Linked DNA regions of Elephas maximus indicus. The protein of the gene in region 3 purifies or fractionates together with the protein of the main gene of each other region. This does not show direct contact. Links are inferred from orthologs where the notes say so. Each region holds a gene or a part of one and is shown on either strand. Other genes may lie near its edges.

Region 1 (7,480 bases), on a different chromosome or scaffold from region 3:
TAACAATTTGTTTTGGAAGCTGAAGACTGATCAATTCCATGAAAGCTATGTAATGGCAAAGTTAAGATTTTAACCAACGTTCAAAACAGTCACTGTTGTTTCTAGACAACCTACCCACACCCTGCAAGATTAGGTTTGGGTAAGTATTAAAGGCGGGAGAACCAAACCAAACCCACCGCCAGAGTTGGTTCTGACTCACAGAGACACTTTAGGACAAAGCAGAACTGTTCCATAGGGTTCCCAAGGAGTGCCTGGTGGATTCGAACTGCTGCCCTTTTGGTTAGCAGCCAAACTTGTAACCATTATGCCACCAGGGTTTCCCAAATGCAGGTGGGAAGTGCTAAATTCCCACTCTCCTTTAAGTAGGATAGATCCAGCGCTCCTTTCTAAGTCACTTGACAAAACTTTTATAACGTGATTAAGGCTTAAAGAATCTTAACTGGGAAATCACTAATAAAAAGCTTTCAAATACAGGAAAAACACCCAAAATCCTTAAGACATCCAGCATAAACGTCTCTCCACATTAAAAAATAGTTTATTACAGGCATCGACAAAATGAACCCTTATCAGCCAGACTGTTCCTAGGACTAGATGACCCAATCAAAGGTCTCTTCCAACTCAAATAGCTCACTTAAGTTCAACAAGATCTCCAGAAGAACTTACAAGATGGCACATATTGAACAAACAATTTAAAGAGGATGAAATTTACCTGGTTCCCTCAAAGGAACCAAAGAAAAGGTAGAGTCTTGTAAGTATAGCCTATCCACTGCTTTTTTGCAAGTTTGCTACACTTTTCATCTGAGTTTTTACATATCTACATAGCCTTAAGTTTCATTACTTATTAAACCACATTATGCGATCTCCAAAAAGTGTTTTATTTTAAACACGTTATTTCTTCATGAAAAGATTTTTACTTGGCTACATTGTTAAAAAAAAAAATTGGTACTTTTATCTGACAATTTTCTCCTCTACTAAGAATTCCCAAAGTATACAAGGCTTAACCTCTTCAGTAACAACTACTGACTAGGGGAAACTTAAGGGGAGTAATGGGAAGATTTCAACAAAAAATATAAAGCTTACAGTTCTCGATTTATAAACAAACATTTTGGGAAGTTTAATACATACTTCCCTGAATTCAATTAGGATGGACAAGAACTCCACATCAAATTTAGTATTAATCCTACTCTATCTTCCAGACTGACACATTATTTAGAACGAAGATTTCAAAGGGAAAAGTAAAACCTGTTTTATATAGATTCAAATCTTCCATTAGATGCCACTTCTGTGGGAGAAAAAAAATTCTCCAAAATTCTAATATATTCTCACAAGAAAATACATGCTTTATTATTGAGGCTTGTTCTCAGTCATCAATTGGCTATAGCATATCCCTCATTTACACATTTAGATTTCTGGCCCAATATACTCACCATCAAGATCACTGTGTTACTGAGTAAAACTTAAAAATTCAACGTTATTTTGTGTTCAATACGTACCCTTATTTTAAAAAATAATCTATAAATTAAAAAAAAAATTTTGGGCCACAAAGTGTCATTTTTTCATAGGAATAAAAATGGTTCCAGTTTTTTGTTCTCCATATATCACTTTTTGGGTCAGTTAGTAACAAAAACTCTACAAAATCGGCAGTTCTTACATCTGAAAAGGTACACTTTTTCCTAACAATGTATGGTCTAGAAGTGGCAGTACCAAGAATTCTTACTTGGTTAAAATCACCAAGCTTTTGTTATAAGAAAACTAAGATACATAAAAAATCTGTAGTCACCTGCATATAAACAAAAATTTAAACAAGAAAGCAATTACATACCTATTTAATCTTTACTTAAATTGTGGTACCATAATGATACTTCTTCTGAAGTTTTAATGTGAAACATGGAAAATGCCCACAAATATCTTTCGGTTCGACACGTGCAAAACTACCTGCTTAATAGTTTAACTCCTCGCTGCCAGGAACACGGCTGAGTTTTGGCAACTTTCATTCCTTTCAAGAGACTGGAGTTAGGAGAAGGCCCGAAGGACCCATACTCAACAAATCAAGACGCCCGAGAGGGAAGTAAGTCGTGGTGACGGCGTGGTCTCTAGTTGCCTAGCAGTACCAGTCGCTCACGGCGGAGGGCCGCATGGTGCTCCACCAGCGAGCACCATCAGTGTTCTGGTCGCACCCACCACAGGTGCATTTGGCCCAGGGCCTGGTCCTGGCATCACGGAGCAGTAGAACCAGACTGCCCAAGAAGCAAAGTGGCAACCCACGATAGTCCACGCCTCCAGAGCGTCCGCATGGCCAAAAGCTCACAGATTAAGGCCTAAAGCTAAATTACGCAGAGTTACGGGTAACCCAGAGCGCGAAAGGGAGGGAAACTGAAATTTTCCAGCACCGGGGCGCTGAGGGAGGTTTAGAGGGGAGAAAAGCGGCCATGTGGAAGAAAAATATCCTCCACCCGCAAACAGTAACCGGAACAAGGACACTAGACCTCCCATCCCCAGGCAGGAACGACTGCCACCACAGAGGGAAGCATGCAAGCAGAGGAGCGAAGGGGGGGGGGAGTAGGGGCCAGCTTCCCGGCAGCCACCGGCGTGGCCTCGGCCTCCCTCTGAGCCGACCTTCGCTTGGCGGGGTGTCGCACTCACATTGTGAACGGGGCAGGGGACAGGTGGGCGGGCCTCTCTGGCGGCAGCTGCTGGGGAATTGACTCCTCTAGGGTGGCGACTCCGGGATTTTCTCCCCGGTCGTGGCCTCCTTTCGCTTCCTTCAGACGACGGCGGCGGCGGTCGCAGCGGGCTCGGCCTGGGTCCCCAGAATGCAACGCGCGGAGAGAGCGGCTCCTCCGGTCGGAGAGAGGAGGAAAGTGTAGGAAAAGGGGCGCGAGGACAGAGAATGAACGTGCGTGCGTGCAAGCGAGGGGTGGTGAGGCCGGGCGGCGGCTGGTGACGCAGCAAAATACCCGGGCCCTGCCGCCGCGCGTGCGCAGTCCTTGTTTTCGGGCTCCGGCGCGGCTTTCTAGAGATATCTACGGAAAAGGCGGAGCCTCCCAGCTCCTCCACGTTCCTTCCCGGCGCCAGCCCCGCCTTTCATCCTGTACCCCGGTGGCAGTCGTTCCCGCCTCTCCTCCCGCGCGCTCACCTCACCGTAAAAAACCGTTGGCGGACTAACCGCCTGGCCACGCGCCTTTGGCGATTTCCCTGAGAAACGGCTTCAGTGGCCGTGGGAGAAAGGCTGAGGTGGAGGGACGCAAAGAATCGGGAGGCGTGAGAAGTGAAATGGGGAATTGGTCACTCTTGAGGAAATAACCAGCGACTGAGGAAATATTCCACGGCAAAGAAGGATATGAAAAGCCTGTGCTGCTGGGTGGTGGTACTTGCCGAAAAGGGCTAACTTAAGAATTGAGGGCCTGAGTTCACCTCGCCATTTTTTGAAGGGAGGAGGCCATGTCCGGGGGCAAGGGAAATTTGAGGTCTTTGGGTGAGGGGGACTGCTTGCCATTTGGGGCGGGATTTACTCCTACTTTGAGGAGCCCTGGTGTCGCAGTGGTTAAGAGATTGGCTGCTAACCAAAAGGTCGTTGGTTGGGATCCACCAGCGGCTCTTTCGAAAACTGGGGGGCAGTTCTACTTTGTCCTATAGGGTCACTATCAGTTGGAATCGATTGGATGACAAGTTTTTTTTTTGTTTTTTTTTGAGATAGGAGTGCTGCAGGTGAAACAGGATGGATATTTGAGGGGAGAGTCTAGGTTTCTGGGACTGGAGAGACGGACAGTTTCGGTGTTTCCAGGTATATAAATTGGGCGGGGGGGAGGGAACGAACCTCCATCAGTGTTTTAGTCGGCATTTCTTGAGCCGCCGCTTTCGAAAAGACAATGGGTCAGGCTCTAAAGGAGGATAAAACTATTAAAACAGTACATGCTAAGAGGTCACTTAACAGTGGAGTAAGGTTAGAACACAAGGGAAGTTTAAGGAAAGTGCCATACAACGCTTGGAAAGTGTTTAGGGGCTTCATATCTATGAATAAGGTATAAAGTGTCTACATTGTGCAAAGCAGGTATTGGAACTATGGAAGTTGGACCCTATCCTCAAATCTCATTTAAAAAGTTAAATCCCAGATCTTAAATAATGATTCTAAGTCGTTCTAATGGTTGTTGGGGAAGACAAAATGCACAAATCAAGATTATTAAGTACTATTATGGAAATGGAGTACTTGGATGGTGGAAAGGATTAAGGCTCTTGACTGTTAACTGGAAAGGTTGTTGGTTGGAGTCCACTCAGGCTCCTGGGAAGAAAGACCTGGTGATGAACTTCTGAAAAATCAGCCATTGAAAACAGTTCTCTGACTACCTTGAGGTCACCATGAGTCAAATAGGACACAAGGGTAACTATTATGTGCCATGGGGTCTATTCCAACTCATAGTGACCCTATGAGAGAGAGTAGAACTACCCCATAAGGTTTCCAAGGCTGTAAATCTTTCTCCCGGGCTGGTGGGCTCAAACCACTAACCTTTAGGTTAGCAGCCAAGTGTTTAACCACTGTGCCACCAGGGCTCCTTAAGGGCAACCGATATATAATGGAAGTACAAAAAGTAATGGAAACAAAACAAGGAGAGGTTGACTTTGGCTGAAAGGATTAGGACAGACATTGTTAAGAAAAATTTGCTCAAAATTTGGAAATAAGGCAAAGGGTGGAGGGATGGCCTCTTAGTTCATACCAGGACATTATTTAACCTGCCTGCCCAAAGAGTATGTAATAATCTAGGTGAAGGTACTTGTGTTTGACTTTGCTGTTGTACGATTCAAGCTCAGACATTGTGAAGTTACTTGTAGATTTCTAATAGAAAACGTAACCCTGAAGTTAGGTTTTATTGCTCTTTAGGACACTCACCAGCCTTGTTTAACCTAGCCCCTTGATCTAGCTCCGTTTCTTTTTATACCTATAAGTCCCTAGTTCTTTAAATGCTCCTGGAACAAACTTTATCATCTTACTGGGTCTGTCAATGAGTTAAATATTTGGCTCATGTTAACTTATATTTGGGGAAGAGTTATGTTTTTTAATTTTTTTGAAATTCTACTTAGACAGTCTCATGGAGGTGACAGCAGGAATGGGTGACTTTATACGTTCCAGGGAGTCCCTGGCTGTTGCAAACGGTTAAACAGTCAACTACTAGCAGAAAGGTTGGCGGTTTGAACCCACCAGGAGGCACCTTGGAAGATAGGCCTGGCTATCTGCTTCCAAAAGGTTACAGCCTTGAGACTTCTATGGAGCAGCTCTACTCTGCACACGTGGGATTGCCATGAGTCACAATCGACTAGATGGCAACAACAACAACAACAGCACATTTCAGGCAGGAATCTTGATAGGTTAAGAGGTAGAAACAGAAGTATGTCTAGGTCAGGGGCCAGCAAATTTTTCTGTAATGGGCCAAATAATTCCATACTATCTCTGCCACAAGGTCTCATCTCTGCTATTGTAATACAAAATTAACCATAGACAGTATGTAAACAAATGAGTGTGACTGTGTTCCAATAAAATGAAGGATGCTAAAATGTAAATTATAATTTTCACGTTACAAGATATTCTTTTCATTTATTTTAACCATTTAAAAATTTAAAAACCACTCTTAGCTCATAGACCATACAGAAACTGACAACGGCCTGGATTTGATCTGCAGGCTATATATAGTCTGCCAACCCCTGGTTTAGGTAGTCCAGAGTGTAGGGGAATAATTCAAGATAGGGTTAAGAAGGTAGGTCACAACCAGGTAATGGTGTCACTGAATATCAGGCTAATTGTTTTCAATTTATTTCTCTGACAATGGAAACCTGTTGTTTTTTTTGAGTAGATGAGTACTCTTGTGTTCTAGAAAGATTAATTTGGTAACAAAGTATGAGAGGAACTGAATATGAAGGAACTGAATTGAAGCTAGCAGAAGACACCAACCCCAAATTACTGGCAAGTTCCTTTATCAAAAGAAATGCTAGTTTGAAAACAGTGATGATAGTTGTACAACATGATGAACATAATGTCACTGAACTATACAAGTAAAAAAATGTTGAAATGCCAGATGTTTGGTTACATATAATTTTACCACACACACACAGAAAAGTACTGTGGGCAAAACTGCCTTTCACATAACAAATTTTTGAAAATGCAGACCTAACACATCCTAATTCATAGTATATTTTCTTCCCCCCCCCCTCTAATTTGTTCCCCTGTGTCATTCATTGCTAAATATATTTTAAGGAATTTCTGTTATCGTAACCAGTTAACCACTGGGAACCTAAATTGTATCAGGTTTCTTTTCCAAATTCACTAACAAGTTCTTTTGTAGTAGGCAGCAAATTCTAGGTTCAAACTTGGCATTATTACAGTGTCAGGACTTTAGGGAGAGAAATCTGCAGCCTAGATTGGTAGAAACTAGAAAATACTTGGCAAGTATTAGATTCTGCTTCACAAATTTAGTCCTAACAGGCTAAGAGAAAAATTTTCAGACCAGTTTAAAAAAATTGTGAAATGAATTTAGAAACATTTTGTCAATTATAATTGCAGCATCCGAGTTCTCCCTGAGGATAGAATTTAAATATGTGTCCAGAGTCACTAATAGCTAAAGAGAATTTTGTGGATTGACATGAGAAATTTAAAAAATGGTGAGAATAGCTTTATGAAGAGGTTTTCTAATAAGACCAGACCTTGGAGACTGTTAACTTTGTAAACCAAAGAGGGAGGAAACAAAGTGGTAAGACTGTCTTCTGGGTATAGGGAATAAGAAGTTGGCCATACAGCTTAAAGGGGATATCATGGCTTAGCTAAATGGAAACAGCACGGATAGCCCCTTAAATTATATCCTCTGGTGCCACCATTATCTGCCCACAATTTAAAACATACCCTATCAAGCTGTTTTGGTAGTAATGAAAAGGGCTACTGTGTCTTGTGTTGAGATTTATCATGTTCTGAGCTTTGATTTGATGCTACCAGGGTCTCTAATTGTGGGGTGGCATCAGCATGAACAGCTCTAGGGGAAGGAAAAGACTTTAAAAAGCAAATTTAGATTTAAAAAAATACACTGAAACCTACAAAAAATGGTCTTTGGCCCCAAACATCACCTTATGGTCTCTGTGTGTGTGTACACCAGAAAATAAGACTGTAAAAGAGTGATAAATGTTTATAACTAGAGCCTCTGAAATCAGAAGATATCAGGTAATGCAGTTTTAATTTTATGGAAGAGAATATGTTGCAGTTTTGGATAACTGTTTGCCATAAATACTTCATTGTGTCCGTTCAGGGTTAGGAAGTGATCAGAAGAAAGCTACGTATACATTCAGATATCAGATTTGGGAGGAATATTAGCAATACCGTTTGGTTCACCTTGCAGGATAACTGAGTGTATAATGGAATAAGGAAGACATAGGACTAGTTTCGAAGTTAAGGGTGCTTTTTTTTTCCTCCCCTGATATTTAGCTATTGAAATAATTTTTCAGT
Region 2 (7,956 bases), on a different chromosome or scaffold from region 3:
GGATCAGAAAATTATATTTTCATCAATCTCTAGCTGAAATTAAGCATTTCTTTTAATTACAAATGGAGGCAGTCACCCACAGCAGCATTAGCAATATCCGTGACTTTGTCACCAATAGAAATCATTGATTTTTTCATATCACATTATATTTGTGAAATATATTATGAAAAGTTGTTTACCTTCATAACCATTTCAAAATTACAATAACAATTACACTAGATGATACAATTTAATGAGTTAATTTAAAAGCACATATTACTTTATCACCACTTTTCAAAAGTTTTGATAACTATAGTTCAATATAATTGGCTTCCTTTGTAATCCTATATATGTTTACGCATTTGAAAACATCATTCTGAGAAGCAGGCTATAGACTTTAGATCGTCAAAGGTGTCCATGGCACACACATACACAACACACACACACAAAAGCTAAGAACCCTGAACTACAGATAGATGGAGACACAAAAATAATTTGCCTAGAAAAACCCAAAAAAACCAAACCCACTGCCGTCAAGTCAATTCCGACTCCTAGTGACCCTATAGGACAGAGTAGAACTGCCCCGTAGAGTTTCCAAAGAGCACCTGGCAGATTTGAACTGCCGACCCTTGGGTTAGCAGCTGTAGCACTTAACCACTACACCACCAGGGTTTCCATAATATGCCTACATCACATAAATGAGTTCAAATATAAAGCCAAAAAACCAAACCAGTTACTAGCGAGTCGGCTCTGATTCATGACGACCCCACGTTGCCAGACTCCAACCACTAATAGCAGCTGAATGCATTGTTTGTCCCACTCAGGGACTCAGAGTTAAAACACAGTCAACTGCTTATTCTGTTACTACTGGGATTATTAGTTTGCATTTTACTACTAAGGCAACATTGCTTGTGTGCCCAACACAAAGAAGGAGCTCCATACGGTTGCTGAATGGAAGGCCGAATGTGGGGGCAGAGTTCCCAAAACCGAGATTTAACACCAATTATTCCACAGATTCTTTGGTAACCTAACTGTGACTCAGTTTTCCCTCTCTTAGAAATGAGACTATGACTTCTTACCCAAATTAACCCTGGAAATACTTGCAAGAAAAAAATTATCAATTTGTGTGAAAAGACTCATATGCCCTTTGGAAGTCATATTTTACCTCTTTTTTTTTTTAACATGTACCCTTAACAATAGTTCTAGTGGTCTTAATTTTAATAATCTGGTTTCCACACCAGGGCTTTAAATTCCTTTTCCAGCTCTGCCATCCACTATGCTCCATAAGGAATAAAAATCACCAGAGAAAAGGAAATAAAGCTATGTCTTGCTCCCGATTCTCCGTTTTCTGTGGCCAGTGGGTGGGCTTCGAGATCAGTTTGTACTCCTTGAGATTTGTAAATTGTTCACGTGCAATATCTGAGCAAAGTCCATTGTTTTCAACGTTTTCTCAAAGGGGACTCCCAAGTAGTTACGACCTACTCTAAAGAAACAGATGTGCTCCTGAAAAACTACACACAAAAGAAATATAAACATTTCAAATGCTTTCTACAAGACCATCACATGTAAAAAGAAACCTCCTTCCTACAACAAACTGTGGGTCAGAAATACAACTGCCCTGTGCAATGCCCCACAGCTAATCAAGGGACCAGACAGGACCTGACCCTAGACAGCGTGACTTTTTCCCTCTGCGCCATGCCTGTCACTCTCCACATAATTTTAGTTTTCTGGTGTTCATGGTTTAAGCGGGAGCTCTGGCTCTAAATATCAACAGCCAAGGCTTTCAGTTGCTCTGATCACTATCAATCACAACTTTTACTCTGATACAATAAAAGGAAGAGCTTAAAGAATAAAGGAAAGAAAATTCCTTATTCAACAACTTCAGAAAATAAACGTATGCTGCACTGCCAGCGTAAAAGCTTCCCCTACTACCAACGCTTCTATGAAGGACTCTCAAATTGATGGATGCCCAGAAAGACTTACTACTCAAGGTTACACATCTGTATTAGCAGGAAAGGAGCCAAGGAAAGATAAGGCAAAGTGTCATCCTTCTCTATTTAGGAAACAATGACGGGATCATGGCCATGGGCCAAGACTTTCAAAAAGACATCGCTTTGGAAGGAATGGCTATCAGGCAGCAATAGCGATGGCACTCCTGGCAGAAGGGCCAGGGGAACCATGAATAGTATCTGGGGATGGGAGTGGGGGGAGGGGGAAGTCTGTGCCAGAAGTGAAGGGCTACCAACTCTAATGCCTGCATTTTCCCTCACAGCCATTAATTCCTCCCACCCCCGCCCCCCAAACTGAAGCAATGCGGCAGGAGGGGAGGCGGTTGAAAAAGATAAACGGTGTAGCCTTGGCGTGGAAGCTCGGGTTTCAGATCTGTTTCGGCCATGAAATAGCTGCCTAGCTCAGCAAGTCACGATATTGTGCTTCAGTTTCCCCATCAGTAAAACGGAGGTAACTACACTCCCGACTACACGGGAATCTGCCAGGATTAAATGAGACAACGAGTGCAAAACCCTCAGCACCGGGCAAGACACACAGGAACCGCTCCAGGACGCCAAGGCAAGTCCGCAGGAGGGCTCTGGGGTCTGGGCTCCGGCCCGGAAAGGGCGCTCCCGGGGCCCGCTCCCCGCCAGCTGGGCTCCGAGCCCCTGCCCGGCCCACCTTGTTGTTGTACTCCTCCACGAAGCTGCCCAGCGCCAGGCGAAAGCGCTTGTCGGGCCGCACGCTCCAGTTCATGGCGTAGACCGTCCAGGGCGCTTCATACTTGTAGATCTCCTTCCGTTTGCCGTGCAGGGACATGGTGGCGGCGGCTGGGCCGCAGTGCGGGCCGGGTCCGCAGTCGGAGGCAGCGGGCGGGGCGCGAGTTGGGCGGGGAGCCGAGCCTGGGACCGAGGGGTCTGAAGGGAGGCGGGGCAGGCAGGGACAGCCTAGCCCGGAAGCGGGGCCGCGGCGACAGACAACGGCGGCCTGGCCCGACCCCCACTTTCAAACCAGCTTCGGCACCGACAAAAACCACCTTCCGTTTGGGACACCGCCCCGCCCACTCGGAACGGAAGCCACGCGACCCGCGCAGCGTCGCCGGCCGTTGGCTGCCTGACACGTCCTTTCGAACAGTTCCTTCGCCTGATTGGTTATTGTGCCCGGAGGTTTTGACACCTCCTCACTACGTCACTCCAATTTCTCGCCCCTCCCAATCATGGGGCGGGGCTTTCGCAGACCCGAAGGCCATTGGCTGGTACAAATGTCAGTCCGAGAGATAACGGTGCACTGCTGGTGAATGGGGGCGTGGGTGATATAGAGTTCAACGTGCCGGGCAGCAGGTCTCCAAGTTCTAGGTCAAGTCTCTGAGAATGAAACCTCTTGCGTGACCTGCTCTGACCTCCCCTCTGCTGCTTCTATTCTGAGCGGCCTCCCCAAGCTGTCGAGTAAAATTAAAATTCTGCAATAATGGGGGGGCCTTGCGGCCAGGCAGCTTGGCCCGCGCCAAACAGGAGTCACCCTCCCTTCCCACTCGTCCCAACGCCCCTTTGAACCCGGGCAGCGTTTTCCCAGTGTCTAAAGGAAAGGCCTCCGGCACGCCTTTTGCAGACCGACCGATGGCTTAGTTAGGACCACGCCGGGTTCAGTGAGGCCTGCCTGCGCTTTCCTGCAATTCCAGAAAAATCTCCGAATTGAATTCTCCGGTTGGTCCTCAATTAGCAGCAACGTGACCAGCTTGGCTCTAAGCTTCTGTCTATGCCCATCCCTTCCCCGCAGCGCATCCCAAGGCGTATGTCAATCAAGCCTTAAATTTATCTGCGCTGTGAGTTTGAAATGGAGAAAATGCAGGTCTCGAATCTGGGTAACAACTTTTTATACTTTACATGGTTTCCAATTCTTTGCTTTCAACAAAATTGAAGGATTGTAGTGGATTGTTAGATGATATCATTAAATATAATTTTTAATGGTCGATGTGATTTTTAACAGACAACTTGGAAAGAATTGAAAGAATTAAGTGACGTTTTAATAAATCCCTTCCAGTCCCATCTTATTTGTGTGAGCAAGTTTTCTCTGTGCTTAAGTTTAATAAAAAAAAGAAAAATACAAACAAAACTGTTGCTGAACTTTGTCTTATCCTCTTAAAAAATGATATTCATCCACAGATAAATGAACTAACTAATTGGGGGAAAAAATCCCCATGCAATCTCTTTAAGAGGTGCATTTCCAATAAAATGTTAATTTTTATAAAAATGTGAATATATATTTGTTGTTTTAAACAACTCGGTACTACTAATAAAGCCTTAGTAAGTTTACAAAATTTAATTTTAAAATTTCAGTTTATATACATATTTGTGTTGCAAGCAGATATGATAGGATGCTCAATAATAGACTTTGAAGCATGAAAATAAATTACATGGTGCATAAAATGGGGATGGTGGCTAGAATGGAATTACGAGTTTGAAGAGAAAAAGGAATGATGTTGAAGAAGGTTTGTTCTTGTGTCTTTAAAATGGCCCATGGTGGCTCTCAAGTCACTAAGCTATTTGGATGCAAATGGATCAATATAAATGAGGGACAAAACAGTACAGTTGTGTCAATATTTACAACCCAATGGAAATTACATCCTTTGCGACAATTTAAACTTACCAATGAAACAATTCAGATGTCAACTTCAAAAGATGTCAGATTTCCTTTAGAGAATATTTGTGCAAAATAACTGAAGACCAGTGATGAGGACCTTTTTGAACAATAGCCCTTTGCAGCTAACTGCACAGGCTGTCAGGCCAGACTATCTGGGTTGAAATTGTTTTGTTAAAAAATTTAGGTGCCATCAAGTTGATTTTCTACTCATAACGACCCCATGTGACATAGTAGGACAGCCTGGTGGCACAGTGGTTAAAGTGCTCGGCCCCTGAAAGGTCAGTAGTTTGAACTCACTAGCTGCTCTTCAGGAGAAAAATGTGGCAGTCTTCTTCGGTAAAGATTACAGCCTTGGAAACCCTATGAGGCAGTTGTACTCTGTCCTGCAGGGTGGCTATGAGTTGGAATCAACTCGACAGCAACAGGTTTGTTATTGTTGTTAATCTTTATAAGAGCAGATCACCAAGTCTTTCTCCCGTGGAGCAGATGGGTTGGTTCAAACTGCCAACTTTTCAATTAGCAGCTGAGCACTTAACTACTGTGCCACCAGGGCTGCTGCTCCTTGGGTTGAAGTTATGTCCTCCTTTTCCTACTGTGTTGGGCAAGATTCTTTTTATTTTTTAATTGAAGTATAATTTACACATAGAAGTGTACATATTTTTTAACGACATGAACACACATTCATGTAACCAGCACCCAGATCAAGAAACAGAACAACATCAGCACCCAGAAGTCCCCCTCATACTCAGGTAAGTTTCTGATTACTGATTCCACATCTCTAAAATGGGAATAATTATACTGACCCCATAAGGTTGTTGGGAGAATTAGATGAATGAATATCTTCAGAGCAGTCAGCGTGGTGCCCAGCACGGGGTGAGTGCCACGGGAGTGTTGGCTGTTGTCATGATTCCAGATGGCCACCAAGCCAGCACCTCTCTGCTTCCCTTCGCCCTAGCCTGGCTATGCTCCAAGGGCTCCTGGGCTCAGCGGAGCCACCTTCAGGTCCCCAACATGGTAGATTTGGAGGATGAACCCCCAGCTCTTTGTGAGAAGGGCTTGGGGAAAACCACAGATGTTGGAGTCATGGCACAGTCAAGGACCTGATGACCCTCAGGTAAGTTTACATACCTGGCTAAACAGGAAATGTGCCGAATTTATTAACTGTGTGGCACTCCACTGCCCAGAAGGGGCCCAAAGGTCATCACAGAACTGTTAGGGGTGAAGCAGCTGAGGGCTGGAGCTCTGTGAATTGGCATGTCTACCACAGAGGGCACCTTCACCTCCAGCTGGGTCAGAGGCTCTCGGCAGGAGGCCTGATCGATCCTGGGCCGTGGTTGCTGGGCCACGTACAGGGGCTGTTTCTGAGTTGAGGGATAATCCTGCCGAGCCCAGAGCAAGACTCTCACACAGATCAGAAACTTCTCTTTACCTCACTGACCCCTCACTCCTGTAAGTTACCTGCACATCAGAGTCACTCCCCCTCCCAATCCTTCACCAGGCTTGCTGTCTAAACAGAGCCCTGGGGGAGGGTGGGAAAAGTCCAGAGTCTCTTCACCGTGCCCTTTTGGGTCACCTGGGTTACCAGTATGAACCTACTCTAGGGGAATGATTTTCAGAGGCCCATTTTGGAGGCTGTCTGCCTCCCTGAGGATCCTCAACTCTCACCCACCTTCAGTCCTCTCATGGTGTCTTTTATCTTGGGATTCAGTAGCTTTAACACCCTGCAAATCCAGGATCTGAGCCATATCTCTGGAACTCCAGCTGCTTGGGGACAGAGCCAAGGTGTTCAGGGAGGGAGGGGAAGCGGGGACCACAGACAAGTCCCTGTCCGTCTGTGTCCCACAGAGGTGAGGCCAAGGGTGACAGGAGCCCCTGGGGCTGCTCCTGTTCCAAGGATGGTGTCAGGGGGTTGTCCATTGCCACGACCAGGTGATGCATCCTGGAGGAGGCATTCCTGTGCGTCAGCCTACATTGGTCCAAGTCACCACAGCCTGGGGTCTGGGAGGGGCAAGAAAGAGGCATGCAGTGTGAAGAGCCTCCCAGGCCAGGCTATGGGTTAAGCCACCCCAACTTCAGGGGTGGGGGCTGGCTGGAGGTGTGCCTGCTCCTTCACAGCACAGGGTCCTGTTACCTTTGCCCCAGCTGGGGGTCTGTGGTCACTTTCTGGACTTTGCCGCTGCCCCGTCCAGGCTGCCCTGTCATGGTTCAAGCCATAAAGGGGGACAACAGAAGCCACAGCTGCTCTAGGAGCACAGAGGCCCTGAGCCTGAAGCCACATTGGAACGAGTTGGGGGTGTGGGAAAGCAAGCAGCTACCTCCAGGAAAGCCCCTGGGGGTCCCTCACCTGCTCACCTGTGCAGGAGGCAGATGGCCCTGGGCCAGCCTGGGACCTGGTCTTGGAGTTGCTGAGGTCACAGGAAACAAGGCCAGGTCCTTGGAGGCAGGGGCTCCCAGGATATAGCTGGGGTGGCCCTGTGGCAGAGGCTGCTGAAGGAGCTTCAGGATGTGACTGAGGTCTGAGGCCATGCGGAACTCTAGCCTGCCAGACGGAGCCCCGCAGTCAGGGTCAGGGTCAGGGTCAGGGTGGGGGAGAGCAGTTCAGGGCTTGAGGCCAGCTCTCAGTTTGGGGTTATGGCAGCTTGGGGCCTACTCGAAGCCATTTCCCACTGGGATCTGCAGCCTTTGCCCAAACTCCGCTTAGCATGTCCCTGACTCTGGTAACAACAATGAACAGGCCCCATGCACACATTGTTCAGTCCTCATAGTGACATTTTGACATGGCTATTCTGATTATCCCCATTTCACAAAAGAGCAAACTGAGGCTCCAAGTGGTTAAGTAACTTGCCCATACTCTAGCTGGTGCGCTGCAGAGCCAGAATTTGAACTCAAGACCATCCTGCTCCAAATTCCCACCATCCACAGGCCATGCCCTTTTCCAAGGGCCCATGGAATTTATGTTTCTGCACATGATTGCGGCCCCACCCCCCAAGAAGCCTTCCTTGGCACAGTCTAGGGTTTTCCAAGGGAAGGCACCCAAAGAATTGTCCTTAGTAACATACGGATGGGGAGACCTGCCACTAAATGGGGCCCGCCATGCTAAAAACCACTGGGTACCTGATGATGTCACTGAGCCACCAGGAGGGGGCACCCGTGCCCAGCTAGCTGCTGGGCCCGCCCTCTGCAGCTCCCCCAGCCTAAGCCCTCAGGGCACTCACCTGTTTAGCTGGGCCTGGAGCTGTTCCAGCCTGGAGCCTAGCTCACGAGGCCAACCGTCCGAGCCTCCCTGAGGGTTTCGGGGGCTGTGCCTTGGGGGCACTTGCTGCAGCAACTCAGGCCAGATGCCAGATG
Region 3 (7,540 bases):
CCATTTTGCTTTACCTTCACCCACTGGGGCTCCCCCAACACCTACCCCCCACTGAGCATCTGTACCTAGTTCTTTCACAAGGATCTTGAATCTGGGTCCTGCAGCCTAGACTTCCCACTCCATCCTGCTCAAGCTCTACATTCCAGAGCCTCAGCCACCTCTACCCTTGGAGGTCTTTATCCTGATGGTCCCCAAGCCCTTCAGTCTCAGCCCTCCTCCCCACCCACTCCCTCCAGATCTTTCACTCAGGACTTTTTTCCTTAGTGAATATTTGGTATTTACTACGTGCCAGACACTGTTCTTACCATCGCACACGCATTTCATTAACTTGTTTAATCCTCACAACAACCCTGTGAGACAGATATCATCATTATCGGCCCCATTTTACAGATGACAAAACTGAAGTGTACGGGACATAAGTAATTTAACTACAAAGTCAAGACATGGACTGAATTCTTCATACCTTAACTCTGCCGATGCCTCTTCTATTAACTTTCACTCCCAATGGGGCCCTGACACCCTAAGGAGACTGTCAGGCAATCATACTGTTTCTTTTGCCCTGAGACCTTTCTCTCCCCAGTATCCCCGACCCCAGGCAGGTAAGGAGCCAGCCAAACGCGTACCTGCGGGTGCTCCTGGGGCCCCGGGAAGCCAGAGAAGGGACCATGGCCCGGTGGGACGGCCATGGTGGGCTCAGAGGGCCGCAGGGGAGCGAGGCCTGGAGCGGGAGCCCGGCCGGGGGGCGCCTTCTCGCATCCTGCACCTCGGCTGCCACCGCCGCTGAGACCTGGGAGAAGGCAAGGAGGCAGGGGAACAACATGGAACAAGAGAATATGTGGGATAGTGGCAGGCAGGAAAGAGGTGGGCACAGACAGAAGGCAGGGACTCAAACGGAGGAGGAAAAGGGTACCACAGAACACAGGTGGCGATGAAGAGAAGAGACAGAAAGCAGTAGCAGACAGGTGGAAAGGGGTTACACAACAGAAGCCCTCAACAAATGACCAAGTAAGTGAATGACGTGGAACAAAGACAAGGGCATGCAAAAGGAACGGGGAGGAGCGATGCAAGAGCAGGGAGTGGTGGTGGGGGTGTATAGGCCACAACAGGGAAGGAGAACAAAAAGACATGGATAATGGAGGGGAGGAAAAGAGAAAAAAAAAAAAGAAACTAAAGACAGTATGGGGAGTAGGGTTTGTTCGTTCCATTTCTACTTGGGCCCTCCCCAGGGCCCCCTCCGCAAAATCTTGCCCCCTTATAATCTTCCCCAACCATCAGGATCTCATCCCATTATCACAGCAAGGTCCCTTCACTACAAGATCTACCGTTCCCAGTAGCTCCCCCAATCCAGAGAACTCTGAAGTCCACCCAAACCACACCAGAGTCCTCTGAGTTCCCCTAAATCACAGTAGTGTCCTCTGCAGGTCCCTCAAATCCACATCAGGGTCCTATGGAGACCTCCCAACCACACCAAGATTATCTGAGAAACTGTATCACAAAAGTCCTATCTCTGTGGCAGCCCGCCAGGGCACATCTTTCCCAGCAGACCCTCAGTACTTCATGCTGAGATCTGTTCCCCTTGTAGGCCTTCCCACATCAGGAAACACTCCTCCAGATAGTCTCCCTACACCGTATCCCAGTTCCTCCCACCACATCAGAACTCTTCCCCACATTGCTGCAAAGTCCCCCTCCCAATCAAGGCCCGCTCTCCTGAGGGGAACAAGGAGGAGGTGTCTCTTCCAGTGGCTTACGATGATCTTCCTTCTCTCCTCTATAATGAATCCTCCCTCTACCCAATGTTCCCATTGGAGCCCCATCTCCTGTCACCTCTTTCTATACTGGGGTCATCCCACAGCGATGCCCCTTCTTAGGAGACTCCCAAAGCTCAATTCCCCAAATACTGCAGGGTGTTCCAGGGGGTCCGACAAACCAAAGTCCCTCTCCCCAAGTCTAACCATGTCAGGTGTCCTCCTATCCCAGGCCTTGCCACTCCATGAACACACCCCGTCTCTTGAAGCTTCCCTCCCTAAAGGTTCCCCCTCCAAAACAACTTCTTTCCCGGGGCCCTCCAACCCCTACCCGCGTCAGGGCTGGTGCGCGGCCCACGGGGGGCTGGAGCGCGGTGGGGCCCCCAGTGAGGCGGGCGGACGGCCAGCATGGCGGCGGTGGCGGCAGTGAGGAGGCGGCCGCCTGTCCCTGGCCTGGGCGGCCCGGCAGGCCCCGCGGCGGGGAGGGCAAGCGGGACAGGCGGCCCGGTGGGTGACAACAGCAGCCGCCGCCAGGGGCGGGGAGAGGAGGGGACGAGGGTCAGCTCGGGGCACGCGGGGGAAGGGAAAGCAGGTGGATGGGGGGAAGGGCGGGTTAACCCTCGCAAGGCCGACCCCACCCCGGGCGGCCACCCGCCCCTGGGGACCCTGGCGTCCCGCCCCCCACCCTAGAGGCCCGCCCCGCCTGCAGAGACCCAGCGGGCGGGGCAAGACTGAGTTTGGCAGTCCGCACCCTGCCATGGCAACAACCGTACCATTGGCCACCGCTGCTACGAGCTCAACCAATCACAGCCCAGGGCAGTTGTTGCTAGGCGACGACGATGCGGCCGGCGGAGCTGAGCCCAAACAAAGGGCGGGAGCGGGGCCCAGCCACCCCTTCCCGACCTCCCTTCCAAGACTGCTCCCTCGGTTCAGCCCCTTCCAGGAATCCGACTATGAATAGCCAGGCTCGGCTGGCACACCAGCCCGATTCCCCCTCCCTTCCTCTCCTCCTCCCGCGTCCCTGTGCTCAGTCTCGAGGCGACGCGGGCAGGGCGGGTCCCGCCCTTCCCCCTCCCCGCCAGCTCGTGCCGCCCAGCCAGTCACTGCGTCGTTACCTGAGGGCGCGGGCAAGGGGACTCAAGTTGCTCGGGAAGCCCGAGCTCAGACCTGCCCACTGGCTGAAGGTACCCGTCGGACGCGGCGAGCCAGGGCCCCGATTACCCAGTAATGCAACCAGCAAAATGGCGACCACAACAAACCGGCCCCCCTCCAGACTCCGCCCCCACCCCCCCATCCGCTCCCCCTCACGTGACCAGCGCAGCCCTCCGCGCCTGCGCCCAGTGGGCACTACCCGCAGACATGCGCAGTGAGCCACCGACCCCACCTAACGCCGAATTCCGGGTTACGGCTGCGCACCAGGGCTCCCTGAGAGGGCAGCTAGAAATGGAGCATGCGCTGTGTGATCAGATGAGCATGCCCCCGCCCCCAACGAGGTGACCATGGGCGCATGCGCCAAGTTGTCTACAGCGGCAGCCACAGAGCGACCAGCAGCCAACTGAGGTGACGGATGAGTCTTTTTAATAGAAAAACACACGTGCAACAGCAACAACACTATCTCACAATGCAGACAGCACCGGGCTTCAGTTCTTCACTTTGGGGGGCGGCCTGTGAGAGGGAGAGAGAAAACGAGGGGTCATAGCCTGCCCCCGGAGCCCTGAGCTGCACGATCCGGTGGGTGACTGGGCCCTGCTCACCTGTACACACCCACGACCACAGCGTGGTCTCTTTCGTATGGCTCGAGGGTCAGCTGCTCCTGGGGCTTCATGTTCTCCTGCTGCATCTTCTTCACTTCAGAAGCAAACACGGCCTCTGCAGAGGCTGTGGAGTCAATGCAGTTGGCCTACAGGAGGAGACGGAATCGAGTCCGCCGCAGGACTGCGGGCTGGTTTCCCCTTTTTTGTGCTCTTTCAACCACAGGGACTTGTTTCCGATGGAAACGGGGTAAAATCAGGCCCCAAACAAAACCCCAGTATCATTTCTGACTGTTCTGCAGCAAAAAGATCACCGCCACTGAAAACCCCATGGAGTGCGTTCTACTCTGAAACACGTGGAGTCACCACGAGTCGGAGTCAATGGCAACCGGTCTGAATTTTGTGGTGTATGGCAGGGTTTTGGAAACGTGGGGAAAATTTCCGTTATATAACAAATTTAGGAAACCCCGGCAGCACAGTGGTTAAGAGCTACAGCTGCTAACCAAAAGGTTGGTGGTTCAAATCCACCAGGCACTCCTTGGAAACTTTATGGGGCAGTTCTACTCTGTCCTACAGGGTTGCTATGTAGTTTGTTTGAATTTGGACCCAAGGCTTTAAACAAAACCCTGTTTACCTAAAAGCCAGCTTTAAGTTTTATACCCCAGCTTTTTTCCTTCTTCCATTAAAAAAAGAGTAATAATACAGCTTTGAGAACAACACAAATACAGGAAAAGGGTAACAAATGGTGAGTCTAAGTAAAGGGTCCACAGCAGAGTTCTCTGTATTTCAGAATAAAAAGTTTTAAAAAATGCACCTAACATTTAGATTTGCCTAGTGTTTATTCAACGCCAGGCTCTGTCTGTACACTTCACAGATACTGATACATTTAATCCTGACGTCAGCCCTAAAACAGATAAGACTAACATCTCTGTTCTACACATGAACAAACAGAGGCACACAGAGGTGAATGACTTGCTCCAAGTCACACAGCATGGTGGGATTCAAACTCAGCAACCATGCCCTTGACCACTATACTCTATTACCTCTTAAAATACAAAGCTTTTAGTTTTACGGACTTTTTTTTATACTACGTGTTATTTCATGGGGAGTGGGAAGCCAGCATAGGAACAGAGTTTGGGAATGGACTGACTGGATTAGAGGGGAGGCAGGCCTCTTTGTTTTGACTGGCTGCTTGTCAGACACGGAAGACTCCTTGGGATGCTCCCACTCATCTTAGACTTCCACAAGACTCTCACCTTAATAGAAATCACAAAGTGTCCTCCGTTACGCAGGAAGGTGTGGGCATTCAGAGCCACAATCCGGGTCTGGTCAGGCTGGGCCACGTCAGCAAAGATCACATCCACCATTGCTAGGGAGAGAGGAATGGCAGTTATTAAATGTTGGGCCCACAGGGAGATCTTCCCATCCCCCCCTGGGGCCTATGCCCCATTGCCAGCAGGTACCTGGCAATTTCCCTGCCTCCAGTCTCACTCCCCTGCCACTGACTCCCCCTCCCCCCGCCCTAGTGCCCCCAAGGTGGGTCCAAAACCCACGGTCACATCACTTATTCTCTACTCTTGTAAACCATGGTTGCCACCTACTCTGTGACCAGCCCCAGGCTGGGCGTGGGGGGCACAGAGACGAGTTAGACCCTGGCACTGCCCTTGAAACGCTCCTGGGTCTGGGGCAGTAGGGGAGGTGGACACACAAGTCATCAAAAAGGCAAGTGAAGGTGAACACTGACAGGCAAGGGCGTCTGCAGCATTGTCAATGAAAAGTTGCAGGACAGGGGCATGGTATGGGTGTGTGGAAAAGGAAAAGAAAGAAGAACAAGGGAATGAAAAAGTAATGTTTTTAAACCAGTGTGATTTAAAACAAACAACAGCAACAGAAAAAACAACACTTAAAAAACTGAAAAGGTGGTGTAATGAAAACTGACTCTGAAGAATCAGGAAAAGCACGTACCCAATTGTTCTCATCAATGACCTCTTTTGAATTTTTTAAACGAAGTCAATATTCACACCAGGCCCCTCCGGGTCAGGTCCATGCCCAGCTGGTGTTTTATGGTTATGACCTCACCAGACAAGGAGGCCCCTGGAGGGCGCTTTTAGTCACAGGTGAGGGGCAGTATAAAAGCACCATGTTTATACACAAAGAGGGGCGGTATAAAGGTACCATGTTTTGGAAGGAGGTGCGAAGCACAAGGAGGGGCAGCTCAGAGAGAGGAGAGGCCAGACCCTGAAGCTGGGCCGCCACCTCTGCAATCTCACCCAGTTCCCTCACCCCTTGTCATTCCTGCGGACTCAAGAGGCCTGTCCGTCCACTCCATCTGAATCAGGGCTCAGATGATCTCTCCCAGAAAACTTGGCTCTTGAAGAGCCTGTCCTACCCGACCTGGGCCACTGCCAGAGCCCTCACCAATAAGCATGCGGTATTTGTGCGGGTGCCGAGCGTCCTCAATGACAGGGATTATGTTGGTCCTCTTCTTGGCCAGGTTGATGAGGTCACGTCCAGAACGGTGGGAAAACTCAACTGCATAGACCAGACCATCCTAGGACAAATCAAGTGATAACAAACGATACTAATTCTCATCTACGGAACTCCTACTTGGGACCCACGCGCTGCATGCAGCATCTCTTCAAATCCCCCAAAATCAAACCCTACCATTAAATGACTACTGTTATCGTGCCCATTTTATAGACAAGTAAACTGAGGTCCAGAGGCATGAAGTCAATGCTCAAGGGCTATTCAGCAAGTGGCCAAGCTCGACATTACACTGCCTGCAACCATGTGACTGAGCAGAGGCCATGAAGTGAGATGTACAGGGGCCTCTAGATGGAGCCTGTACCCACACACTGCAATGCAGCCCAATAGCGTCAGAATTCTTGTTCTATCAAGAGAAACTGGAGAAGCAGATTGGGGGGAGCATGAATTTTTAAAGAGACCAATCAATTCATCTGATTATCTACACTTCCAGCTCTGGGCCCCTTTTATTCTGGTTGCCCTGACTCCCACACCCCTTCCTTCAAGGCTAAGAACCCAGGAGTGTGGCTGAATGAGGCTTTGGTGGCCATCTAATCCAAGCAGCCATTTCTACCCACAGGCGCTGTCAGAGGGCAGGGCCTGGCTCCATGCACAGTGCGGGGAAGCGCCCATGCCTGACTCCACAATAGTGCCAACAGGAGGCAGCCTTTCCCTCTGCCCGCCTCACCACTTACCTGGCCTACGATGTCAGAGACGTGGGAGACAGTGGTGCCTGAGGCAGCTCCAAGGTAAAGCACCTTGGCCCCCGGCTTGATGTGGATCTGGTCCACACCACCCAGGATCGCTGCTGCCAGCTTTGAGCGGAAGGGGTTCCAGGCGCGGTACTCAATTTTGTCGTCTCCTTCCTGGACCAGGAGAGACGGGGATGGAAATCAGTGCTGGGCTCTTCCCTGAGGCCCCACGCCCCTTACCCTGGGGCCTTGAAAGCGACTGGGCGTTTAATGACTATGCAAGTGATGAATGTGGGTATGCAGCAGTGGCCATGACAGATGCAACTGTGGAGTTAACAACTCAGGGAGATGGGGTGGCAAGAGACGATAAACACAGAGATACCGAGATTGTCTCAGGTTGGTAAGGCCTGCAAAACCACTCAGCAAGCGCTTACTGTGCTGCGTGCCAGCCCCTGATCTAGGCACTGGGAATACAACAGTGAACACGACAAAGATCCCTGCTCTCAAAGAGTAAGTATACAAGGAGCTAACTAAATTAAAAAAAAAAACACCTGGCACAGTAAGATGGTGACAGGTGAAAAGGAGAGAGGACAAAGCCGGGAAGAAGACATGAAGTATAGGAAGTAGGGCAAGGGAAGGGGAAAACGAGAAAGGGGAGCCAAAGGTGCATTGTGCAGAAGGTGTCTGGGTCAGCCCTAAAGGCGATGAGGAGCCGGTCAGGCTATCTGGGGAAAAGCATTCCAGGGAGAGGGGAGGCAGGCGGGAAGCACTGAGGCAGGAGAGCGCCTGGCCATAAAGGAAATGGCAAGGGACACTAGGATCCGTCAGA

What was found. The genes of interacting proteins can lie anywhere in the genome.
Region 1: the proteins of DYRK1B (region 3) and PTGES3 purify together in Homo sapiens (affinity purification with mass spectrometry; 3 studies listed by BioGRID and IntAct, with this or other methods). This does not show direct contact. The link is inferred for Elephas maximus indicus from reciprocal best matches to the Homo sapiens genes DYRK1B and PTGES3.
Region 2: the proteins of DYRK1B (region 3) and DCAF7 purify together in Homo sapiens (affinity purification with mass spectrometry; 10 studies listed by BioGRID and IntAct, counting the BioPlex papers as one, with this or other methods). This does not show direct contact. The link is inferred for Elephas maximus indicus from reciprocal best matches to the Homo sapiens genes DYRK1B and DCAF7.

The regions. Positions count from the first base shown.
Region 1 is NC_064822.1:116,594,301-116,601,780, forward strand, and holds the start of PTGES3 (prostaglandin E synthase 3), read right to left. Parts: upstream 3,017-7,480; 5' UTR 2,646-3,016; coding exon 2,644-2,645; intron 1-2,643. UniProt on the Homo sapiens protein: Cytosolic prostaglandin synthase that catalyzes the oxidoreduction of prostaglandin endoperoxide H2 (PGH2) to prostaglandin E2 (PGE2).
Region 2 is NC_064837.1:54,787,028-54,794,983, reverse strand, and holds the start of DCAF7 (DDB1- and CUL4-associated factor 7), read right to left. Parts: upstream 3,017-7,956; 5' UTR 2,788-3,016; coding exon 2,650-2,787; intron 1-2,649. Other genes in the region: KCNH6 (potassium voltage-gated channel subfamily H member 6), read right to left, coding at 6,322-6,606, 6,961-7,147, 7,824-7,956. UniProt on the Homo sapiens protein: Involved in craniofacial development. Acts upstream of the EDN1 pathway and is required for formation of the upper jaw equivalent, the palatoquadrate. The activity required for EDN1 pathway function differs between the first and second arches.
Region 3 is NC_064829.1:111,688,301-111,695,840, reverse strand, and holds the start of DYRK1B (dual specificity tyrosine-phosphorylation-regulated kinase 1B), read right to left. Parts: upstream 3,008-7,540; 5' UTR 2,156-3,007; coding exon 2,077-2,155; intron 788-2,076; coding exon 624-787; intron 1-623. Other genes in the region: FBL (rRNA 2'-O-methyltransferase fibrillarin), read right to left, coding at 3,386-3,410, 3,500-3,645, 4,753-4,865, 5,915-6,047, 6,715-6,885.